Linked DNA regions of Drosophila melanogaster. The gene in region 2 interacts genetically with the main gene of each other region. Each region holds a gene or a part of one and is shown on either strand. Other genes may lie near its edges.

Evidence for each region.
Region 1: of mirr (region 2) and cic, changing one suppresses a phenotype caused by changing the other (phenotypic suppression), as found in Drosophila melanogaster (one study listed by BioGRID).
Region 3: of mirr (region 2) and caz, changing one suppresses a phenotype caused by changing the other (phenotypic suppression), as found in Drosophila melanogaster (one study listed by BioGRID).
Region 4: of mirr (region 2) and Pax, changing one suppresses a phenotype caused by changing the other (phenotypic suppression), as found in Drosophila melanogaster (one study listed by BioGRID).

Annotation. Positions count from the first base shown.
Region 1 is NT_033777.3:20,251,172-20,255,817, reverse strand, and holds the start of cic (capicua), read right to left. Parts: upstream 3,049-4,646; 5' UTR 1,965-3,048; intron 1-1,964. UniProt on the Drosophila melanogaster protein: Transcriptional repressor required for the specification of numerous cell types during embryonic development. Required for terminal patterning of early embryos.
Region 2 is NT_037436.4:12,691,971-12,696,673, reverse strand, and holds the start of mirr (mirror), read right to left. Parts: upstream 3,036-4,703; 5' UTR 2,363-3,035; coding exon 2,321-2,362; intron 175-2,320; coding exon 1-174.
Region 3 is NC_004354.4:16,286,813-16,294,042, forward strand, and holds caz (cabeza), read left to right. Parts: upstream 1-1,997; 5' UTR 1,998-2,138; coding exon 2,139-2,145; intron 2,146-2,214; coding exon 2,215-2,346; intron 2,347-2,413; coding exon 2,414-2,510; intron 2,511-4,244; coding exon 4,245-4,279; intron 4,280-5,128; coding exon 5,129-5,298; intron 5,299-5,382; coding exon 5,383-5,831; intron 5,832-6,073; coding exon 6,074-6,383; 3' UTR 6,384-6,708; downstream 6,709-7,230. Other genes in the region: CG32576 (uncharacterized protein), read right to left, coding at 346-427, 1,146-1,324, 1,413-1,504, 1,571-1,595; UQCR-14 (Ubiquinol-cytochrome c reductase 14 kDa subunit), read left to right, coding at 1-111; ERp44 (endoplasmic reticulum protein 44), read right to left, coding at 7,084-7,228. UniProt on the Drosophila melanogaster protein: May participate in a function common to the expression of most genes transcribed by RNA polymerase II.
Region 4 is NT_033779.5:19,420,525-19,425,425, reverse strand, and holds the start of Pax (paxillin), read left to right. Parts: upstream 1-1,873; 5' UTR 1,874-2,011; exon of another isoform or gene 2,012-2,147; intron 2,148-4,901.

The DNA.
Region 1 (4,646 bases), on a different chromosome or scaffold from region 2:
TACTTCTTTTTAATATATATTGTTTTAGGAGTAACTGCGTCGAAATTTCTACCAGTGCATTGGCCTAATTGAGAAACTAGCTTCAATACCAAAATTGGCTCATTGTCCTGGCCATAAAAGGCACACACACACTCAAACACACCATCAACGCGATGTAATAAAAAATCGAAACAAAAAAATAACTAGGCAAGAAAAACGTGCCATGCCTCGAATAATGAAGTTAATAATAAAAATGAAAAGAGAAACATTTGCCGCTAACGATAAACCAAATTTGTACAAATAAAAAAAATTAATAAACAATCGGCGTGCGCGTTTCTTTCGCTGTGTGTGTGCGTGTGAGTGAATAACTAAGTTTTTGCCACCAAAGTTGGATTTGCCATGCCATACTAATACTATACCCATATGTACATATGTACAATATATATGCACAAACCGAAATCGTAGACATAGCAACGGGTTTATATTTCTGTACCGACGACTTGCCAATTAGCAACAAAAGTTCTTGCGGTTGATTAATTATTCTAAAAATTCAATAACCCCACCTACCCGTATGAGCGAATGACAGAAAATAATAATAGAACAAAAAACTGTTTTTAAGGTCAGCACGGGGAGTGAAATCTGCATTATAAATGTCGTTGAAACACGCCTTTTTGTTGTACACGCATACGTTTGCACTTTGTAAAGAGGGCATTTCAAATATGTTTTTTTTCGAATATTACCTTGTTTTTTCTGAATTACTTTAATTCTTAAATGTGTAAATTTCAATTCCGATTAAGCATTAATCTCTGTATTATGTTTCATAGTGACCACTGTACTAACTCGCTGTATGTATGCATTACTTCTCCCATTGTTGTTGTTGCTGCTGCTGCTGCTAAGTGCGTCTAGTAATTTGCTGATAATTATCAACAAATGGGCGCTCACGCACATTCAAATGTAAATTAGGCAGTAGAGAGGGTGGGAGAGAGCGACTAGAGAAAGAGAGGGAGCATTTGGTCCGGGCAGACGCAACAATAGCAATAACAAAAGCAACGCATCGCTCAAATCTCATGCGATGCAGTTGCCAGCGAGAGTTTTGTTGCTAATTACATACACACATCGATGGCCAGCCAGTCAGAGTGCAAGTGCGTCTGTGTGTGTGTTTGATGAAGGGGAGTGGGGGCGGTTAACTTCAGTTGGCAACTGTGGGACCAATGTACAGCAAAAGAGGCTGGTACAGTGTTCAAATTAAATTGATTTGATTGACGACAGTTTTTCTATCAATAAAAAAATTTAAAAAAAACATCTTAATACAGCAATATTGTTTCCCGTGCACCATGATTTTATTAACTCATTTGTGGTCCACTAATTTTCATATACTAATCATGATTTCCCTAATAAAATCCACCAAAACCAGTAACTTTAATGGTTAGCTAATTTCAGTAGCTGATTTTCACCCCATTGTTTTTGTTTACAAAAAGGCAGAGCTTAATTTGAATTTCAACATTTCACATTTAACATATCAATGATAAAGAATGCATACATACACACGCACATATTAATTCTAGGAGCTATTGTTACGACTTTTTTGTATTTTATGAACAATATGATGTGCAAATGTTTAAATGTTGAGGCTTAGGGTTTATTTAACAAATGAATAGAATTTCTTGAATACAAATTTTGTGGCCTGACCAGCTACAACAAATACACACGGTCACACTGAGACCCACCGCTCTCTTGCCAACTCTCTAATTCCCAGAGAGCGGGGGTGTGCTGGTATGTGTATGTGTGCAAGTTGTGGAAATGAATGAAGCTCTGCTTGCCAACAACGTAAAAGCAAGTGTAAGAGCAAGCCCGGAAGAGGGGGAACAAGAGAGAGAGAGAGAGAGACTGGGGAAGTGAGATGGCGAGAACGGAAGCGGGAAGGGAAATACAAAATTTTCCAATTGGCAAGCACATACAACATGGGGTAAAAGAATTTCGCTTACCGTTTTTCGCTTATTGACGTAGGCGTCCGTTTCTCTCTGTACGTATATGTTTACGTGTATGGGTGTTTATTGCTGTTTTTCTCTTTTATTTTATTTGCTCGGCTTGTTTTTGTTATGCAAAAGGCATAGACTTTTTCGGGTTTTACACGTTAAAAACACAAACACTTTAAAAATTATTTAACTGCTCGCTAAGCCGTTGGTTCTCGCTCTCCCGCGCTGCAAATGCACTGCAAACAAAATGTTGGATTATGGCTGGCTGGGCTTTACAACTTTTCCACGAGCAAAACAACGCACGACTGTGGAAAACGCGAACCGACGAACCGAAAACCGTGAAAAGTGTTCATTCATTGAGGAAAATTGAAATGAGCGCCTAGCATGTGACTCTCTCGCGATTGCTCTCTATGTCTCTCTATCTCTCTTGCCCACACTCGATTTGGGGGCCAGTGTTGCCAACTCAGAGCATAGAGCAGAGCCCAATGCCAATAAGCCGAATCGGGGAAAAGGAGTAAGCAAAGCAAAAAGCCCTGCCTCAGATACTCCAATTCTGATTCGAACTTATTAATTATTTAATTGGGATTCTCGGGCAGCAGTATTGTGGGCTGGCAACACTGCTCCTCTGCACAGACAGCGCGTCGACGTCAGCGTGTTAGTGTTTGTGTGCGTGCTGCGCTCGCTCTCTTTTCCTCATTCACACTCGCACCCTCTCTGTCGCACGCGCATTTTCGATTGATTGTTGTTGTTATTATTATCTTTATACGAGCTTAATCCAATATTTAGCCAGTATCTATGCAGCCCAGTTTGTTTTCCCAGCTCTCTGTTTCACTTGTTTTCACACCTACACTTGTGCGTGCGCTCGCGTTTGTGTGCGTAAGTGCCTTGTATTTGCAAACGAATTTAATTTGCGACACCTAAAAATCGAACAAATGTCGCCACAAACCGTTTTATTCACACAAAAGCCTGCAGGCGCTGCCCGATTTGGCTATTATTGGGGTTTTGTGCGCGGGGCACAAGAGCAATTCACAGGAGCTCCACCTTCCGACATCCGCGACACGTCCGTGCGATTCCGAGCATGAAGTGAGAATCTGCTGGAGACCATTTGCCCCATTTGAGAAAATACCCCCAAAGTGGGACCGTTGGCCGGATTGGGCAAAATCTTACAAGTTGCGTGGCAAAGGCGAATGATACGGTTACACTGGCGCCGCGAGCGGGTGCAACCAAATGTTGTAACTTTTCGGTGATAGAGCGATATATAAATAAATAAAAATTGTAATTGCTTCTTAACATTTACTTTTAGCATGGTTTGCGAATTTATACAAAGATTGTATGAACTGGCTTGTGTACAATCTATCGTTAAGTTAGTCAGTACACGAACCTCTACAGTTCTACACTTCAGTCTGGCAATGCCCAACGTTCTTAAAAATTATGAAATTGTGGTAGCACTGAAAAATATCTGCCACATTTATATTCATTTCTTGTAGAGTAAAGGGGTGTAATATTGCTATTATTGTTTTTAGGTTTTATTGTTTAAGTTAAGTTACTTATATAATATAGTACTGTGTGCAGGAACTTCGGCTGTGTAGGTTGTTTATGATAATCTTCTTTGAATGCATTATTTACATGTAGTAACTTAGTCCAATGTTGTTCAGTTGTTTGGATTATAATAAAAACTAGCATAGTATTATTTACAATTTATGTTACTTTCTTTTTTATTAATATTTCGATTTTATGGAATAGGACAGTTCCTAGGAAATGTGGCATTTATAAAAAGATCAAGGCATCTGTCGGTCTTAAAGATGGTCTGTTTGGTTTAAATGTTACATATGAGATTAGTTCTTAAGATTTGGAGAGATGTCCTTGATTTGATAAAAGGCGTGGAAGAAAGTGTTTTCGAAACTGTAAGGTATATATATTCCGTCTGTCTTGATTTTCCTTCCGTCGAGATTTAGGAAACTTTAAAATCAAAGCCAAGTAAATGTAGATGATTTATATAATCTTAAATAGGTAAGGTAACACTTAAAAACAAACGTGTATCAACAAAAGTTTTTACGAATACGTAATATGCATAATATGCATAGGCATATGCATCCCAGAAAATTTCACAACTATTAAAACATTTAATAAACCAAAATACATTGTTGAAGGCTGTTCAAAATAATCCCCAGAGTAAATAAAAGCTAATGATTGGCAAGCCAAATTTTAAGTGTGACAATAGTCATTTAATTTAAGTACCGCTCCATTTGAGCTTGAGCTTAAAAACTTCTCATTAAACTCAACTTTCTTGAGTGGATAATTTATGAATGCACTATCCTCAAATGAGACCGCTCATATGGAAGGAGCCGTAAAAAGTGCAAACATTCATCAAATTCGCGCCGGAACTTTGGAAATATGAAAACCGCGCTATGTGATCCGTGCACCTGGTGCCGTCTAGCGACATAAATTACGCATACGTCGTGTTAACCGTGGGAAAACATATAAATGTGTTTGCACCCACGCGACAGCGGCAAAAAACAAATTGTTGTACCTTCTGTTGCTGCTGCTATTATTGCCATAACTTTGGACTTTTATTAGCAGAAAACTCTCGGAGCGAATTTTGGCTCCATCAACGAAGAGGCAGCATTTCCAGTTTAATGAGCTGAAAAGTGCAAGTTGAGATACGCAGGTCCCGAAGTATTAGGTTCATTT
Region 2 (4,703 bases):
CGGCGGCACCGTCGAGGTCACCATGCCACTGTGTCCTGGCCCGGCGATTCCCGGTGCACTCAGCGGCTGGGCGGCGGGACAGGCGAGCGTGGGCAGCGTCGAGGGCGGACTCTGCGGAGCGTTGGTTGGAGGCGTGTTGGGCGACGAGGTGGCAAGGTGAGTTGAAACGGCATTCTGCAAGTTAAGTGGAAGACAACAACGTTGAGTGCATTTGCTTAACGGAGCTAACAAGCGTTTGGTACTAAAAATAGCTGTCCAAGTTGATTATGAACAATATGTTGTACAATAAGTAAACAAATTTGAAATAAAATAATAAATAAAATTTATAAATTTAAGTACTGCACTACTAATCCCTTGATAGCTTATAATAAAATGTTTTAAGGCCTCTTTCTAAAACGAAACTTTTTTAGAAAAATGTTCTTCATCTTTGAAGTTAATTTCAGTAAATTGATTATCCGACTTTGATCTTTTCCAATTCGTTTCTCGAGTTTATGGCGGCCATTAAGGCGCTGCTTCTTGCGCTGGATAAAAAGCCCCAATAGACGGTCTACTGTACCGCGCTACCAGCTGGCACTAAAACTTAATTAAAAACGTAGCCCCTTATCAGTGCGATAAGAGCGTCTCTTCAGTGGGATGGGTTGTGGGCTGTCCACGGGCCCTTCAGAACTGCAGAGCCTCAGAACCACAAAACTGGGATCCCAACCGATGGATTCTTCCCCCCCTACAAACTGTGCTCTCTCCTCTCTCCACTCCCGAAAACCCCTTTCCCCTGCGATCCGGCGATCTTCAAAGTGGGGCCGCCATTACCAACAAATCATGTTTTCGATTGACAACATTGATTTAAATTACACAGCCGATTGCTGCCAACGACGACAGCGGCAACAGCAACAACAACGACAAGCTGCAACAACGTCCTAAGAGCAATTTGATTGTAAGTTGTCCAATGACTGCCTGGATCGATCCTCTATATGGTATGGTATGGTATGGTATAGCATGGTATATAGTGTGTTTGTGTGTGCACATAAGCCTATCGCGCACTTTTGTCAACACTTTTAGTCAACTGAAACAACTGCAAGAGCAACAACTGCAACAACTTCAGTGGACAAGAGCAACGTACACATTCGCACACATGCGACATGGGGTAAGGAAAACAAGTTTCAGGTTTGTTTATCGCTGCCTCCTTGGTTAACTTCTCCACTTCTTGAGGCTTGGGGCTGTGGGCTTTGGGGCTCCAGGGGCTCCGGGGCTTCGGGGCTTCGGGGCTTGGAGCCGCTCTTCCCGTTTAACATTTTACAAATGATCCGAGGCGTAAGATACGATTTTTATCGCAGGCCGGCGGTCACAGTGCTGCATGTTGTATCATCGGTCGTGATTGATACCGCCACAATGTTGTCGCTGATGTTGCTGTTGCAGTTGGGATTCGGTTCGGTGTTGCGTCTCGTGCTTTCATCAAGTGACAACTCAAGTGGCCCTATGCGATTAAAAATTAATTCCCGGTGTTTGCCGGATGGCTGGATGGATCCACAATACACTCGTACGATTTCTTATCAATGCGGCTCTTTGAATCAACCGCCGATGATTATCGACTATCTATGGCTACAGGCTATAACTATAACACAACAAATATCTCAACTCGAAGTGGTCGTTTTGCGGCTAAAGTAAATTATTTTCGGGTAGCCATTATGATGGCGAGGGTAGAGTGACAGCCATTCATGTTTGTTTAAAGAGCATTTAATATTTCCGATATTCCGTTTCAGCTTTCGACTTTGCGCCACAAGTTGCTTTTACATACATATATGAAAATATATGAATATGCTCGAGTGTCGAGTGCAAGCGATTAAATTTTTGGAACAGGGATACCATATTAACTGGGGATCGTGTTACCACTGAGGGATTATTATGGCTAAAATCCTATTGGACACTCAAGTGTGACTGAGCACGATGTGCGGTGACCTTGCCAGCTTGGTTAACAACCAAAGAGACATTGATGCATAAGAGAGATTTTCCGAATTGGCAGACGGTTTTTCGCGTGTTGTTCGCCCAATGTAGCACACTTGTGGTCCTGACATTTTCAATCTGTTTTATTTTTAAATCCATGTCTTCCGTTTGCCAAATCAAAATGCTAAGGTATTCGAACCCAGAGTAATCCCACTGTTTCTGCTTTTATCTACATGTGTTGCACTGATTTGCCTCGTAGCTGAACGGGTTTTCAATCTAATTGCCACTATCCAAATGCCAGACAAGCTAAAATGCAGCGATTAACTGAACCATCTTACAAGTAATAAAAAATGGGGGAAAAAAAACAAATTGATATACGCACCATTACTAAACAGATACCGGTTTCATTACTGTGCACTGTCATTTAATATTAATTTTTGCTTTTAACTAAAACTATAAAGCAAATCTTAGAGTTACGATGCACCGATGGACTCGCGCACTGAACCGACGTATGTGTATTTAGATAGATTTATAATCCGAGTGAAGTGATTGTGATTGTGCGATCTGTGATCTTGTGATTGATCCGAACTAGTTTTTATGTTGATTTTGGATCCGGCTTGCGAGCTATTTCAGTGTTTACTTTCTTTGGGCTGTGTTTATTTTTTTTTGTTATTCGTTTCGTTGCACTGCGTTGCACTTGCCGACGGCTGCAAGGAGCTGGCCAACTCGAGTTAGCTGGCCAACACAGGCGCTACTGGGCACCGTAAATCCGTAAAATCCGACGGGCGGCTCGACGGGAATCGTTTATGTGAGTCGTTTAAATTTGTAGAATTGGTAGAATCGGTATTCGGGAGGAGCAGCTCTATCCGGAGGATGCGAAAACGAAGCACGAATGAACCAGAGGCGGCGGCAGCAAATAGTAGTATCTGGGTGTGAATCTGATTCTGTTTCTGAATCTGGGTACTGAATTTGAATCCAGCTCGCAGAACGACGGCGAGCGGCGGGCAGAGAGCACTATTATTCACACTGCGGCACTGGCACTGCGGCGGACACGAACGATACGAACAATCTGCGTAACAGTCAAAAGTAGACTAACATGAGTTTCTTGAGCAACTACAAAGTGTACGACAAATGGGAATTACACGACAACCGACAATCGAAAAACAGCGCAGCGCAACAACAAGAACAGGCCCACGCACCACCACATCGATACATAGCCCGCGCCGCGTTTGTATGTGTGAGCGAGAGAGCGCACAAACGGGTTTCTCCCCTTAATTTTTACTCGCACCTTCGCTGGTGTGCGTGCGCTCTCTTTGCTCTTTTTGAGAGCGGCCAAGTATCTGTGCGCTGGTGTGCGTGCGAAAAGTATCTGTGTGCGCTGGAAAAAGTAGCAAACGAGGCGGCACGACGACAACACGAACGGCAACAACGGCAATAATGATTATCATTATAAGTGGGCTGGCGCTCCGGCTGTGTGTGGCACTCAGGGGATTGGGATTGGAATCGGCATCGGAATCGGTATGCTACGGTAGATACCCCTCAACCCCCTACCGAAACGTAGCCACCAATCTCGCTGCAAGTGCGAGCGAGACGCAGCAAACCAGTTGGTTAGGTGGAGGGGTGGGGGCAACAAAAAAAGTATCTACCGCCTGTGTGACCATAAATAAAGTATCTGCCAGCTGCGGCCGGGCGAGAGCGGGATGGCTATAGCCGCTGCGCCGTTGGCCACGAATCGCAACCAAGCGGCAGCGACAGCGGTAGTATCGCAACTTGCTCGCGTTGGCTGTCGTCTTGCTGGCGTGCGAGCGAGATGGCATAGCAGCAGCAGCAGCAGCAGCGGCGACAAGAAGCAGCAGCAGCAGCAGCAACACCGAGAGCGGCAGAACATGAAAAAATTAACTTAACAACTAGAAAAATGGCTGTTATTGCGTGTTGTTGTAAATGCCGATGTATGTATTTGTAGGCGATGTTGTTGCTGTTGTTGTCGGCGATGATGTTGCTGCTGTTGTTGCTGCTGCTGTTGCTGTTGCAACGCTGCTACTTGCTGCTGCTGCCGCAGTTGCTGTTGCTGCTGCTGCTGCTGCCGTGGGTGTTGCTACGTGTAGTTGTTGCCATAAACAACGCAACAACAACAACAACAACAAGACGAATGTCGCGACGTATGAAAGCAAAGTGTTTACGCTCGCTTCTCGCTTTTCGCCGTTGATGAAAAAAGAAAAGCCTGATGAACATGAACGACGAGACTCGTGAAGAGGTTGGGCCAAACGCGATGGGTAATGTTTTATCATCCGCCTCTGCCGCAGTCGCTGCTACGGCCGTTCCCCTCCAGAAACCCCCTCCTCCCCCATTACCCCATCCCTTTGGCAACCAACCCCCTGCACCGCCCCTCTTGACCGCTTTGGCTCTTTGGCTGGATTGGTGGCATCTTTCGCGCTGCTCCAACAAAAAAAGAAAAAAAAAAAATCAGAAGAAAAAACGAGAAGAACAAAAATCGCCACCGCAGCTGCCGTCGCTGCTTTTGCTGCTACAACATACGCTCTTACATTTTATTATGTAGGTATTTGTTTTTTGTTTTTTGTTTTTTGTATTTTCGTACTTCGCTTCTCGTTTTTGCCGTGGCGTTTCTTTAACTTTTTCTAATTAATTGAAACGCCACTCGAGAGGAGTGACGGCAGCTGCTAGAGCGGGATGGCGTCTATGTGCTACATATGTATCTGAGTGCTGAGCACATTTGAAAGCTACTTTGTCGTTCCTGGCAATCGGTG
Region 3 (7,230 bases), on a different chromosome or scaffold from region 2:
CCCAAGGAGCAGTGGACCAAGTACGAGGAGGACGTCAAGTATCTGGAACCCTACCTCAAGGAGGTCGTGAAGGAGCGCGAGGAGCGTGAGGACTGGGAAAAGATCCACTAAACGCGCCACTAAATCCCTCTACTTTGGACTTGTAAATGTTGAAATACATAGCTTAGATAAATACCAAAATTGGCTATGAAATCGAGTCTGCGTGGTCGTTTGGGAATGTGGACCCTTCAGTTTATTTCAATGGGCTTTCGCGTCAAGGCGAGATGAGCGCGTTAAGTGATCATGAGTATGGGCTATTTGCTATGTTATATTTTTTATTTTTTGTGAGGCTCCATGCTACCTTACCTTTTGTATAAATGGTAAATTAAACAGCGATCCTAAAACAGGCACTCGGCCTAGGAAATTAATGGCCACGGGGAAGAAGCCGCTGAAAATATAAAGAGAAGGACATTAATAAGTAATAAGTAAACGACAAATCACTAAAAGAAGTTACTTCCACTTGTATTGCCATCTTGCACGTTTCGAAGTTAAGTTAAATTCTTATATTCACTGAATATTTTCCCTACTTTGAATAGATTTCCATTCATTAATCCGATATATATGAAGCAGACCTTTTAACGTTCGTTAAAAGATATTTTAATGAATAAAAAGACCTACATATATTAGGGTAATTATTAAGTTGCACCTTTGGTCGTAACTTATGAAGAAGCATGCAATTGAAAAGGTAAAAGGAGAGAGGTATAGATAGGAAAAAATGTATAAAAGGACAGAACAGAACAAAACAGACAGAAACAGCGAATAGTTATAATGAAGGACATACTTTTTGCTTTCTTTAGCTCTGATCAAATGCTATAAAATCTGATCGAGCTTTTTTTGTAAGCGAATCTGAAGAATTATACTTGGTATTTGCTGTTAATGCCACAGCGTCAAATTGTCCCATCTACATGACTTGCAGTCTTTCAATTAAAATATAAAATATTTCTAAAGGATGTCATCTGACAGCAACTTTGACTGCCAAGCCCTGACTTGCGAATGGTGTATTAAGAGCGGGAAAGCGAAAAGACCATGTGGAGTGCGTAACCGGTTAGCCCCGCTCAAATGGTCTTAAACGAATCCGACTGGGACTTGGCCAGGGTGCTACGAACCTGAAGAGTGCGAAAAATCCATAGGATTCAATAATCATGCCGAAGATGGGGAATCCCAGCAGGACGATGACGATTCCCCCTAAGAAGGCCGTTGTGCCTTTGACTTTGTGCCGTTGGAAGAAAAAGCGCATCGTGCGCTCCACGCCAATGACGCAGGCCAGGCCCGATATGAATAGAATCTGCGGGAAAGAGGCGATTGCTATTATTATAGAGCTCGAAGGGTGTGCTATATGGGGCATATGGTGCATGTGCATGTGGGTAACGTACATTGCCAATGGCGAGCAGTCCTTTATCGAACAGCAGCAGCATGCCGAGAAACAAAAAGAAAATGCCAAAACCAGCCAAGCCGATGCCAATTTCTGCGGGAAGATTTCAATAGGCGGTTTAGTTGCGCTGATGGCTTTCGCATATTAATGGCTACTTACTCTGCAAATCTGATATTTCAATCATTTTGTATTTGGCTCTGCTTTAATTTGATTTCAGAAAAAATTAAATCCACGTAAACACCAATTCAATTTCAAAGCACAAACAGCTGATTTCGACTTTCATTCAAAGTTACGTGCTAACGACTGTAAACAATGTTTGCAGGGATGCAAGCGCTTTAGTGTTGTAAAGCGATCAAGCTGCCGATTAATTATTTAAAACCTCTTGGATTCAGTCCATTTGGATGCAAATAAATGATAAAATGTATTAAATAAAACTATTTTTACCATTTAATACGTATTTTCCCACAAATATAATATTCGGCATATTTGTGTTCCATTCCCACACATTTCAATGATATATAGATAGATATTTCGATAGGCGCTACAAGACCCACACATACCAGCCCCCTTCGACGCACATCCCTAATTAATTTTCACACGCCATTTTACAATAGAATTTGTGACGATCTGACGCTTTCTTCAATTCGAGCAATTTGTACGCAGCGAGTTATTGAAACTCCTGCAATTCTATTGATTAAAAAAAGACTTCACGCAACGTTTATTAAACATGGAACGTAAGTATAATTTTAACACGCGCATAAGTCGCAACGTGAATTGAAAACGATGAAATATGTGCACTCTAGGTGGCGGTTATGGTGGTGGTTCGGGACAGGGATATAATAATTTCGCTGTCCCCCCACCAAATTACCAGCAAATGCCAAATAAAACGGGTAACTACAACGAGCCACCTCCGAACTACGGCAAACAAGGCGGTGGTAAGGCGTGCATGCGAACTTTGTGTTGCGAGCAACACACCAATACTCACAAACTTATGTTTTTAAGGTTATGATTCCGGTTCCGGTCATCGTGGTTCTGGTGGCAGCGGCAACGGTGGCGGCGGCGGCGGATCATGGAACGACAGAGGAGGCAATTCCTACGGGTATGTTATCCACTTTTAGTATTTCGCTGCTGTTGAGTTACAGCGAGGCTATTTAGATCATGGGTAGTAGTCTTTCACGGAGGTTTTTTAAGTGTTATAAGAGAAGTGTACGCATATATAAATATTTACAAATCAATCCAGCCAAACCAATGAGAAAAGACACCGAGCCACTCCTTGAAACATGAAGCGTATTTTAAAGATATTATTGAAATGCAAGAGATGCACTGTGCTGCATCAGAGTGTGAAACTGCTTGAAGCTATTCCTGCAACTACGACTTGTTCCGACTGCTTAAAAACGCAGAAAACATAAAATTATAACAACAAAAAAAAACGTATCTCCCAATTTGGCAAATTATTATTTATCCGCATGACTGTATTTCATGTACGTTTGTTTTTTTTTCATCGAAAATCTGTGTAAAAATATTAGAAAATGGTATTTCAAAATGGTTTTGACGAGTCAAATGAGTATAATGGTAAAAAAAAAAACAGATGATGCCCTGGGGAAACAAATATCTGCAATGCATAAATAATACTGGTTATACTGAATAAGTAATAATAAGTAATACCACAGTCGTTGCAATCGGAATAATAATGGTCGCCTAATGAAATCTATGATGAATTTGTGATAATTGCATAGAGAATCGCGCACATGTTATTATTATCGTTTTAAACCATACACTATATCATCCATTCCTGCCTTAATACGATACAATGCTAGCATAAACATGTTCCAAAATGAACATTCAAAAAATGTGTGTGTTCCCAACAGGATGGTTATGAAAACCAGATCAAACATGACACAAGTGTAATCGAAGATATAAAGCTAAAAAGAATATAAAAAATATCAACCAGCAATCATAAAATTAAATAAATTGTGGCTCGAGACAAAAACAATAAACAATAAAAAAATTCGATATATTATTAATGCACAGTTCGGAGGAATTGGTATGGTTCTGAGACTCTAATCATCTTAAGGTATTTACGTATACAAAAATAATAACAAATTTTAATTATTAGCTATTAAGGTTATTACATATGTTTATACACATAAGAAAGCAATGATTTTGCGCCTAAGAGAGAGCTTACCTCTAACAATCTAAATGTAAGATAGTTTTAAGCAATTTGTTTTATATAGTTTCAATCTCATTGACCGTTTTTAAGGTATTTTTTTTGTTTGTGATTTTAACAACTACTAAACTACTAAACTTTTGAATTATTTATCATTTAAGCTTGTTTTATAGTAGTTAAGCAAGAATGTAGGTATGTAGGTAGTGTTGTGTGTTTAATAACGATGGTATTTTGCTGCGATATACCTACTACATACATAAGTGTATTTAACTGGGTCGAACTCCTTCCTTCCCTCTCATTTCTGTGAATTTGGTAAACAAATGCTTTTCCAATAGTAGACTAATGCAAACGTTAAGATTATGTGTATAAGAGTTAGGTGTATGTATGGCAAACAGTATGTACGTTGTCCTCCTTGGCAGTTTGATCAGTGACTGCCGCCGCACTTGGCTCTAATTTTGTGATGGAAAGCAACAAAACGGACATTCGCTGTTTGAACGTCGTCGTCACTGACCGAACTGTGCCGGGTGCTCTATAGATGGTATTAGATGCCATAAGATCGAACAAAGCAATACGTATTCTAACAAGGGATCCTAGGCGTATACCTCACCATACTGCATTAAAACCAAAATCAAAGCATTAAATAAGTTATTCAATATCCTCTTTTAGAAATGGAGGCGCCAGCAAGGACAGCTACAACAAAGGTAAAAATAATGCAAACAATTGCAAACATATCGAGTAATGTATACCAATATTTTTCTACATATTGAACTTGAATCTAAAATCGAAGTAGAACAACAAAATTTTAAACACAAAAAAGAAAACCCAAACCGATTAGAACATAAAAACAGAGTCTAATTCCAAACCAAAAGAGTAAATAATTGAATATGCATATTAAACAAACATCCTCCTTTCCTGGCGGCATTCTTTTCATTGTGGGGCCTTGCCCATTTGAAATTTCGTCGAAAAGTCCACGCATCGTTACCTATAAAGTGTATTTAGCGTACTTTTCCAAATCGTTGATCTCTGTTTGATCAATATATAATGGTTAACGACCGACTCGGTCAGCCCACGGGTATTTAGTATTTAATTTCTGTAAAGTGTTGTATACATGTGTCAAAGCGTTGTCACGAATCAAATCAAGGGTTGGTCGGTCGGGCTAACTCCTGGCAATTTGGGGTCACCTGTTTGTGTTCTTGTGTACCAGTCAGTCTGGCTTTGATAGCTCAAAAGCCGACCGAAACCCGTTCAAAGTGTCCCCATGTCGTCTCTCCCACGGTCGTCCACCCACTAAAGGTTTTTTGAAATACACCTCAAAATTCTGGTTTCACATCTAAGTGTCCTGGTTAAAATGTCACGGAACAGCCGTCTACTTTGGTCCTCACCTTCGTTGCATTTTTTGGTGGTTGCAGTGAGGCGAGAAGTTCTAAGAAAAAAACAAAACAAAAAAAAGAAAATGAAAAAACCAAATATTAATTAAATAAAGTAGCAGTTGCATTCTAAGCTATACCCTGCCGTGCCAGCTCGTCCTTATTTCCCATTCGCTTTTGTAGGACACGGAGGATACTCGGGCGGCGGCGGTGGTGGTGGAGGAGGCGGCGGCGGTGGGTCCGGTGGCAACGACATGATCACCCAGGAGGACACCATCTTTGTCTCCGGCATGGATCCCTCGACCACCGAGCAGGACATTGAGACACACTTTGGAGCAATTGGCATCATCAAGGCAAGTAGTAATGTATTTTATGTATCTGTAGCTACGTTTTAACCTTTGTATCTTTCTATTCCTTTGCAACTGATCTAACAACAGAAAGACAAGCGTACAATGAAGCCCAAGATTTGGCTGTACAAGAACAAGGAGACCGGCGCCTCCAAGGGAGAGGCCACTGTCACCTACGACGACACCAATGCTGCACAATCCGCCATTGAATGGTTCGATGGACGCGACTTCAACGGCAATGCGATCAAGGTGTCGCTGGCCCAGCGCCAGAACAACTGGAACAAGGGCGGAGGCGGCGGCGGCGGTGGTGGTGGTCGCGGAGGATTTGGCGGACGTCGCGGTGGTGGTGGCGGCGGAGGAGGTGGCGGCGGCGGTGGAGGTCGCTTCGATCGCGGAGGAGGCGGTGGCGGCGGACGCTACGATCGCGGAGGAGGCGGTGGTGGTGGCGGCGGCGGTGGCAACGTGCAGCCCCGTGATGGTGACTGGAAATGCAACAGCTGTAATAACACCAACTTTGCCTGGCGCAACGAATGCAATAGGTGAGTTGAGAGTTGAGATATAATTGCTTTCAACATTCCATTCCATCATAATTCCTAAAACTCCACACTTGCTTGTAAATATCGTGGAGAACCCAAAGTGTAGACGAAAAACTTATCAGTGTTTGAAAGCAAGCAATTTTTGCTGATACGCCACATAATTGCCATAAGTCTTTATCTTTGGGGAACTACAAATTTTACAATCTTTGGCTTGCTACGATAATAATAATCACGTCCATTTGCAGATGTAAGACTCCCAAGGGCGACGACGAGGGCTCTAGCGGAGGTGGTGGAGGCGGCGGCTACGGCGGCGGTGGTGGCGGAGGAGGCTACGACCGAGGAAATGATCGTGGATCCGGCGGCGGTGGATATCACAACAGAGATCGCGGTGGCAACTCGCAGGGAGGCGGAGGCGGCGGCGGCGGTGGTGGTGGCTACTCCCGCTTCAATGACAACAATGGCGGAGGACGCGGTGGCCGTGGAGGTGGTGGCGGCAATCGCCGCGATGGTGGACCGATGAGAAACGATGGAGGCATGCGCTCGAGACCATATTAAGCGCATGGTAGCCAGCCGAACGCGGCACCTATTTTTTTCACTTTTACTTATTAATTGTAGCGAGAGTACGCTTTTAAATGTACTTTTAAAATTAACAGTCAGAGCAACTTTTAAATGATAATTGCCAGCACACGACTTCATTTGAACCGATTTTTATCCCAACACACACACGGTTATCGCTCGTTTTGACTGAATTATATTATATAATTATGTAATCTAATTTAACAACTGTAACTGTAACATGGTACATACGAATAAACATATATATATGTATACATATATAGCTCATATATATGTGTATATATATATATATATAGAGAAAATCAAAATCACTGCTTTGAATTCGGAAGTTGACATCATTCATTTCCAGCTTAGCTGACTAAGAAGGGGATTCCAAAGAATTCAATAAGTTCGCCTCGCCGAAATCTCCAGCGTAATTTTTAACAACAAAACGAGGAAAACTTGAAAAGTGACGCGTGCAATTTGTGGATAATTCAGCAACTGTTTCTTTTTGCAATAACAAAGGTGGTTAAATCCAGACTTTTTATTTTTAGAATTGCATTGAAGAGAATTGAGGCTGCTGCGCCCGCTATTTGCATGGATAACCGCTCACCTGCTGATCTGCTTTCAGAGAAGGTTGCTCATTATTACATTTTTGTATTATTTTCTTTTATTTTCAATATACATTATTATTATTATATTACAGTTCATCTTTTTCTAGCAGGGTGTAGCGATGCTTGGATGGGCCAAGTTCCTTGAATTTGGACTCTGGTGGCGATGTACCCTTGCCAGTGTGTGGGTCAGGTTCAATATCATTTGAGGGATCCGGCCCGTAATGAAATTCCCT
Region 4 (4,901 bases), on a different chromosome or scaffold from region 2:
AGCACTTCCAGTGTGAAATCATTTACAATTCTAGAAAGCAAGGAGGGTGTGGTTTCTTGCAGCCCCAAGTTCGAAACCCTTGTACTCATGTGAATGATCTGGTCTGAGAGAGGCAGCTTAATCAGCCGGGCTGTATTTGCTTTCTTCGCTGCCCCACAGTGCTCTTTTAGTCTCCATCAGCGAAATAAAAGTCTACATGTCGTCTCACTTTATTTTCTTTATGACACAATTCTTCGCTGTTTCGGAATGTCTTTTGATAAAAATATAAAAGTGAAGCAAAACGAAATCTGCAGCCGAGAGTTGTGTGTCCAGAAATTCTTAAGAAATGACTAAAGGCCAGGCCACTAACACTTATGAAGAATTCCAGCTGACTTGCCCTACACCTACGCACAGTGGTCTAAGAGCCCGCTAAAATTTGCTTATCGGCTGGGCTTGTAGGATTCTAGATCTTAAGAAACTTTCATATAGAGCTTTTGCAAAATCATGTTAAATAACAAATAATATTTCAGATCACTTTTTAGATTACAATAATATAATAATAACTATAATACTGAAATTCGTTCGAGATCTTAAAATCTCAGCATAAATATTCTGCCCTCGAAGCTTTACTTCGCACAGGAAGTAGAGGCTTCAGCTTCATCTCCAACTTCATCTTGATCTTCTCCAGCAACTCAGTTGCATCAATCTTGCTTTGCTGCCATTAGTGAGTGCGCGCCCACTTCATCGCCCACTCGACACGCAATGTCTTCTGTTCGTGTTGCGTGTGCGCACTGTAACAGCAAAGACGAGATGATCTGTCGAGATCGGTTAGGTCTGTCTGGGCATTGAGCGTCGATGGCGTTTTCCGCCGAGGGGAGCACTCCAACTGCAGAGCAATGATCGCTTATGGTTACGGGGAAAGGTTCGCACAGTGGGACGAAAGGTTAAAGAGTTTTTGAGATCCCATTTCTGCCTTTTCTGTGATCGTATCAATGTATATCACAGTGTTCATGGTCATGAAAGTATATAATTAGTTATCTTCTATGTTTGTCGATAAACAATTGTAAAGCCTAAGCAGCTGTTAAGTGATAAGCATTTCCAACATGACTGTCCCAGAGGAATTTTGTTTATACCAATTTTCACTGTCATTTTATGAAACATTTAATCTTGCGGATTGTCTGTACAATTGAAGATAGTTTCAGAAATGTTTTGATATTGGATGCCTTTGACTCACGTTTTCGTTTATTCGTCAGCAACGAAGGGGTTGGTTTTCTTGGCAGCTGGCCCACTGTTCACACACCCAAAGGAAAGCTCCAATCGGGCGACAATATTTTCGTCCGCTCTGGTTTCCTTTCGCTGTGCCTCCCACTTGCGGTCGAAATGCTCAGCCGCAGGCCGCAAGCCAAAATGAAAAGCCACTCCAAGTGAAAAGCTACGTGGTGGGGCTCTTTCTCTCTTTTAACTGGCTCTCTTGGCACTGAAAATAAAATACGACAATATGGACTCTGATTTAAAATACATTTTTTTTAAATTCGATTTTTCAAAATTAGTTTACTACTTGTTTACTAGTTTATTAGTTGTTTACTCAGAAACAACAATAATCATAATACTGGTTTCACAAGCTGTAACCGCTGATACATACTTTTTAAACATTCCTTTAGATATATATTACTTTAGATATAGCCCCTATTACGAAGCTAAGCTATCGTTTTGAATATACTATGCCTATCCATACATCCATACATCTATAAATCTAAGAAGATTTTTTCGCAGTGCAGTTTGTTTACCAGCTCTCAAACGCTTCGCTCTCTTGCTCCCCCGCTCTCCGTGAGCAGCTGCGAGAGAGCCGGAGCGCTCGTCTATTGGAGCCTCAGCATCGGGCCCCCCTTTGGATTTCAGTCGATTGCGACGCTTTTACTGAATCGCGAGCGCAGCGCGTGTGTTTTTCGGAGTCTCTCGATTGCGGTCTCCCAACGGCGTCCTACGATCTCTGGGATTAATATATAGAATATGTGACAACACACTGCCAAAGGTGCAGGCAAAAGTGCACAGATAACGCGATAGAATATACATATAAGAAACCAAGCCTAATCAAAACAAAAGGCAACGAAAAAGTGTTTAACGGCAAACTACGGCGGGAAAAAGTTGATGAAAATCAGTGGAATCGTGTTAGTGGCAGGTTGGAGCGTGGGAAATTGTTTACTTCGAGTGCAAGAACAGTTTGCAGTAAAAAAAAAAGTTGACAAACATCAAAAGATATCTAGCACTAAGATAAACGATAAAGCAGGAATGCCAGAAGCAGTTAGCTAAAAAAAATAATATAATATAATAAACTGGCCAAGATTTATGGATCCGTGTCACTCGCCTTAAGATTCCACTAACTCTTGGCAAATCTTTTCGGCGCGTTGCTCGCAAAACATTTCAATTTCATTAGCATTTCCACTAATTATGGAACTAATTATCAACGGACAAGACATTCGAATATATGACATATTTGCCCAGATCTGGCAGAGCATAGAATTTTGGTTAGCCCCATTAATTTTCGCCTCGGGGCCCCGAACGGATTAAGATCGTGGGTGTGTTGAGATGGAAATTAATTCGGTATTTCTGTGTTTTTCTGGAGGGAAATGACCGAAATAGCCAAACAAACATAACAACAGGCAGCAAAAGCAATTAAATTGTGCCCACTTAATCTATTAAAATTATGACATTTTTCACATATTTCAAGCAATCGAAGCCAAGTGCATTCTCACGAGTGGTGGTGGTAGTGCGATGGGGGGGGGGGGGACTTCCTTCCCCTTCCCCTCGTAAAAGTATCTCGAGTTACGACAGCAGATGGAAATGCTGGAGAATGATGTAAACTCGGCTGACATAGTGCGCACAAATGAATATTTTGTTGTTGGGGGGTTCTGCACTTACGAGAATCGCTTTCGTTTTCTCCCCAATATTTTGTATCTCGCAGATACGTTCAGTGGATGCCATTTGTTTACGACCAGACAGCTGCTGTCTTTGTCTCTCCGATTGTCTGTGCGTTTTGAAACCTCTAACTAAGTATCTACAGATCACTCTGGATCTCTGGATTATTTGGGTTTAAAAGCTCGTTTTAAGCCCCAACTACTTAGCACCTCTGGATTCTCCATCATCGTAATTCATAGTGCAGTGAGTTCATCGCCAGGTTTGAGTTCGATTTTCGTTTGCTCAGCGAGTTGCTCTGTGTTTTGTTGTTGTTGTTCCTTGTTTCTGTTCTTTCAACTGGAAACAAGATTCTTATCGCCCAGCCATACAAATTCAATTAGAGTGTGTTGTTTCGATTGCTAGCGAAAGATGAGTGGCTTCGATAGATTTCGAAATCGTTAATTGTTAGCAGCGAGTTGATGTGCAATTAAAACATTGGGTTAGATTCATTGCTCACAAATATTTTGAAATAAATAAGTGCAATACTATTGAATTGTTTGCAATCGACAAATATAACCAATTAAGCTTCCATTGAGCCAATCAAAAGACATTGATATTTAATTCCAGAAAAGCCTTTTATCTGCTCAGTACGTAGGCCATTGGCCAATATAGGGTCTATATATCTTATCAAGACCCCAAAGGCCCCAAAAGTCAGTGGGCGATAGCTCGTCGCTTTTTCCCGAACCTATTACAGAAGTGGAATGTGAAAAGCACGCACAGTTTACAGCGGCATAAATTGGCCAAGTTTATTGAAAGGCCCGGCTAAAGGCCACTGAGCGGTGAAGAGAGATCGGTATCACCCACACAAATGAATTTCCCTGGGCTGATACCCACTTTTCCGTTTGGCCACGCATTGCGTTTTCACCTTAGCGCCTTCGGCAAGGTCAACACTCGCATTCACACACATTTTATCTACTTACTAATAAAATATTTATATTGAGATCGCTAGGAATTTCCTGCAAAATAAACACGAAATTGTGCCTTTGACTTTTGAATTTGACTTCGTAGAAGGAAGACCGAATCGAGAACAACAATTTCGGCCCGACGTCATTCCCAAATGGACTGAGTAATGCCTCAGGTGTGGAGGTAAATGGATTTGGACTTGACTATAGCCAAGACCTGGAAGGAAAGTGAGATTTTTATTTTCTTATTGCCCTTCCTTTTGGCAACGATCTGCGGAAATCTCTCGTATTTTCAATTAATTTCGCTCGATTTTCCCAGTTTAGCCTCCCTTTGTTAGACGACGAAACGTCGCCTTTGATTTGCTAGAAATGTTTTTTTTTTTTGTTTTTTTATTTTTCTTTTGGATATTTTTAGTTGGCGATCATTGGTGTTGACGTAATTTGGCAACCTTGATTCCCCGTTCCCTTCTCGATACTCGTATTTTTGGCCCGGCTCGCTTTGTGTTCGGTCGGTGAATTTATGTTTATTATTTTTTACCTTTTTCCAATGTGTCGTTATTTGTTTGGAACGAAAATCTAAAATGTGGCCTGCATGTTCATTTTGGTATTTTTATGCTTCCATAAATCTGTCTTTATAGACCGTTTGTTGGCTCAACTAAATCTACAGGCCATCGTAAATTGAGTTAGTTGCATAGATCATCTATTGAGATTCACCCACGCACATTGGGATTAGGAAGTCAGAGTAACTGGTCCGGACTTTTTGGTCTGATTTATCGCTCTTGTTGGTGTTTTTATGGATCTTTAGATACGGTTAGATTGATTTGCATCTTCAGTGATTACGCTATAAAGAACCATTTTTGACTTCTCTATCTTTTTGATCTTTAGATACGGAAGATTAAGGTGCATCTTAAGTAGAGTAATCACTTCAGATGAAGATCATTTGACTTGTTTGACAGTGGACTTTCATTGACTTAACTAAATATCTTTGTTTCGAGTATTGATTTAGGTAATTTATTTCTTAGGTTTGAAGCATGATGAACTGATGAACTGACAGACAATGTTTAC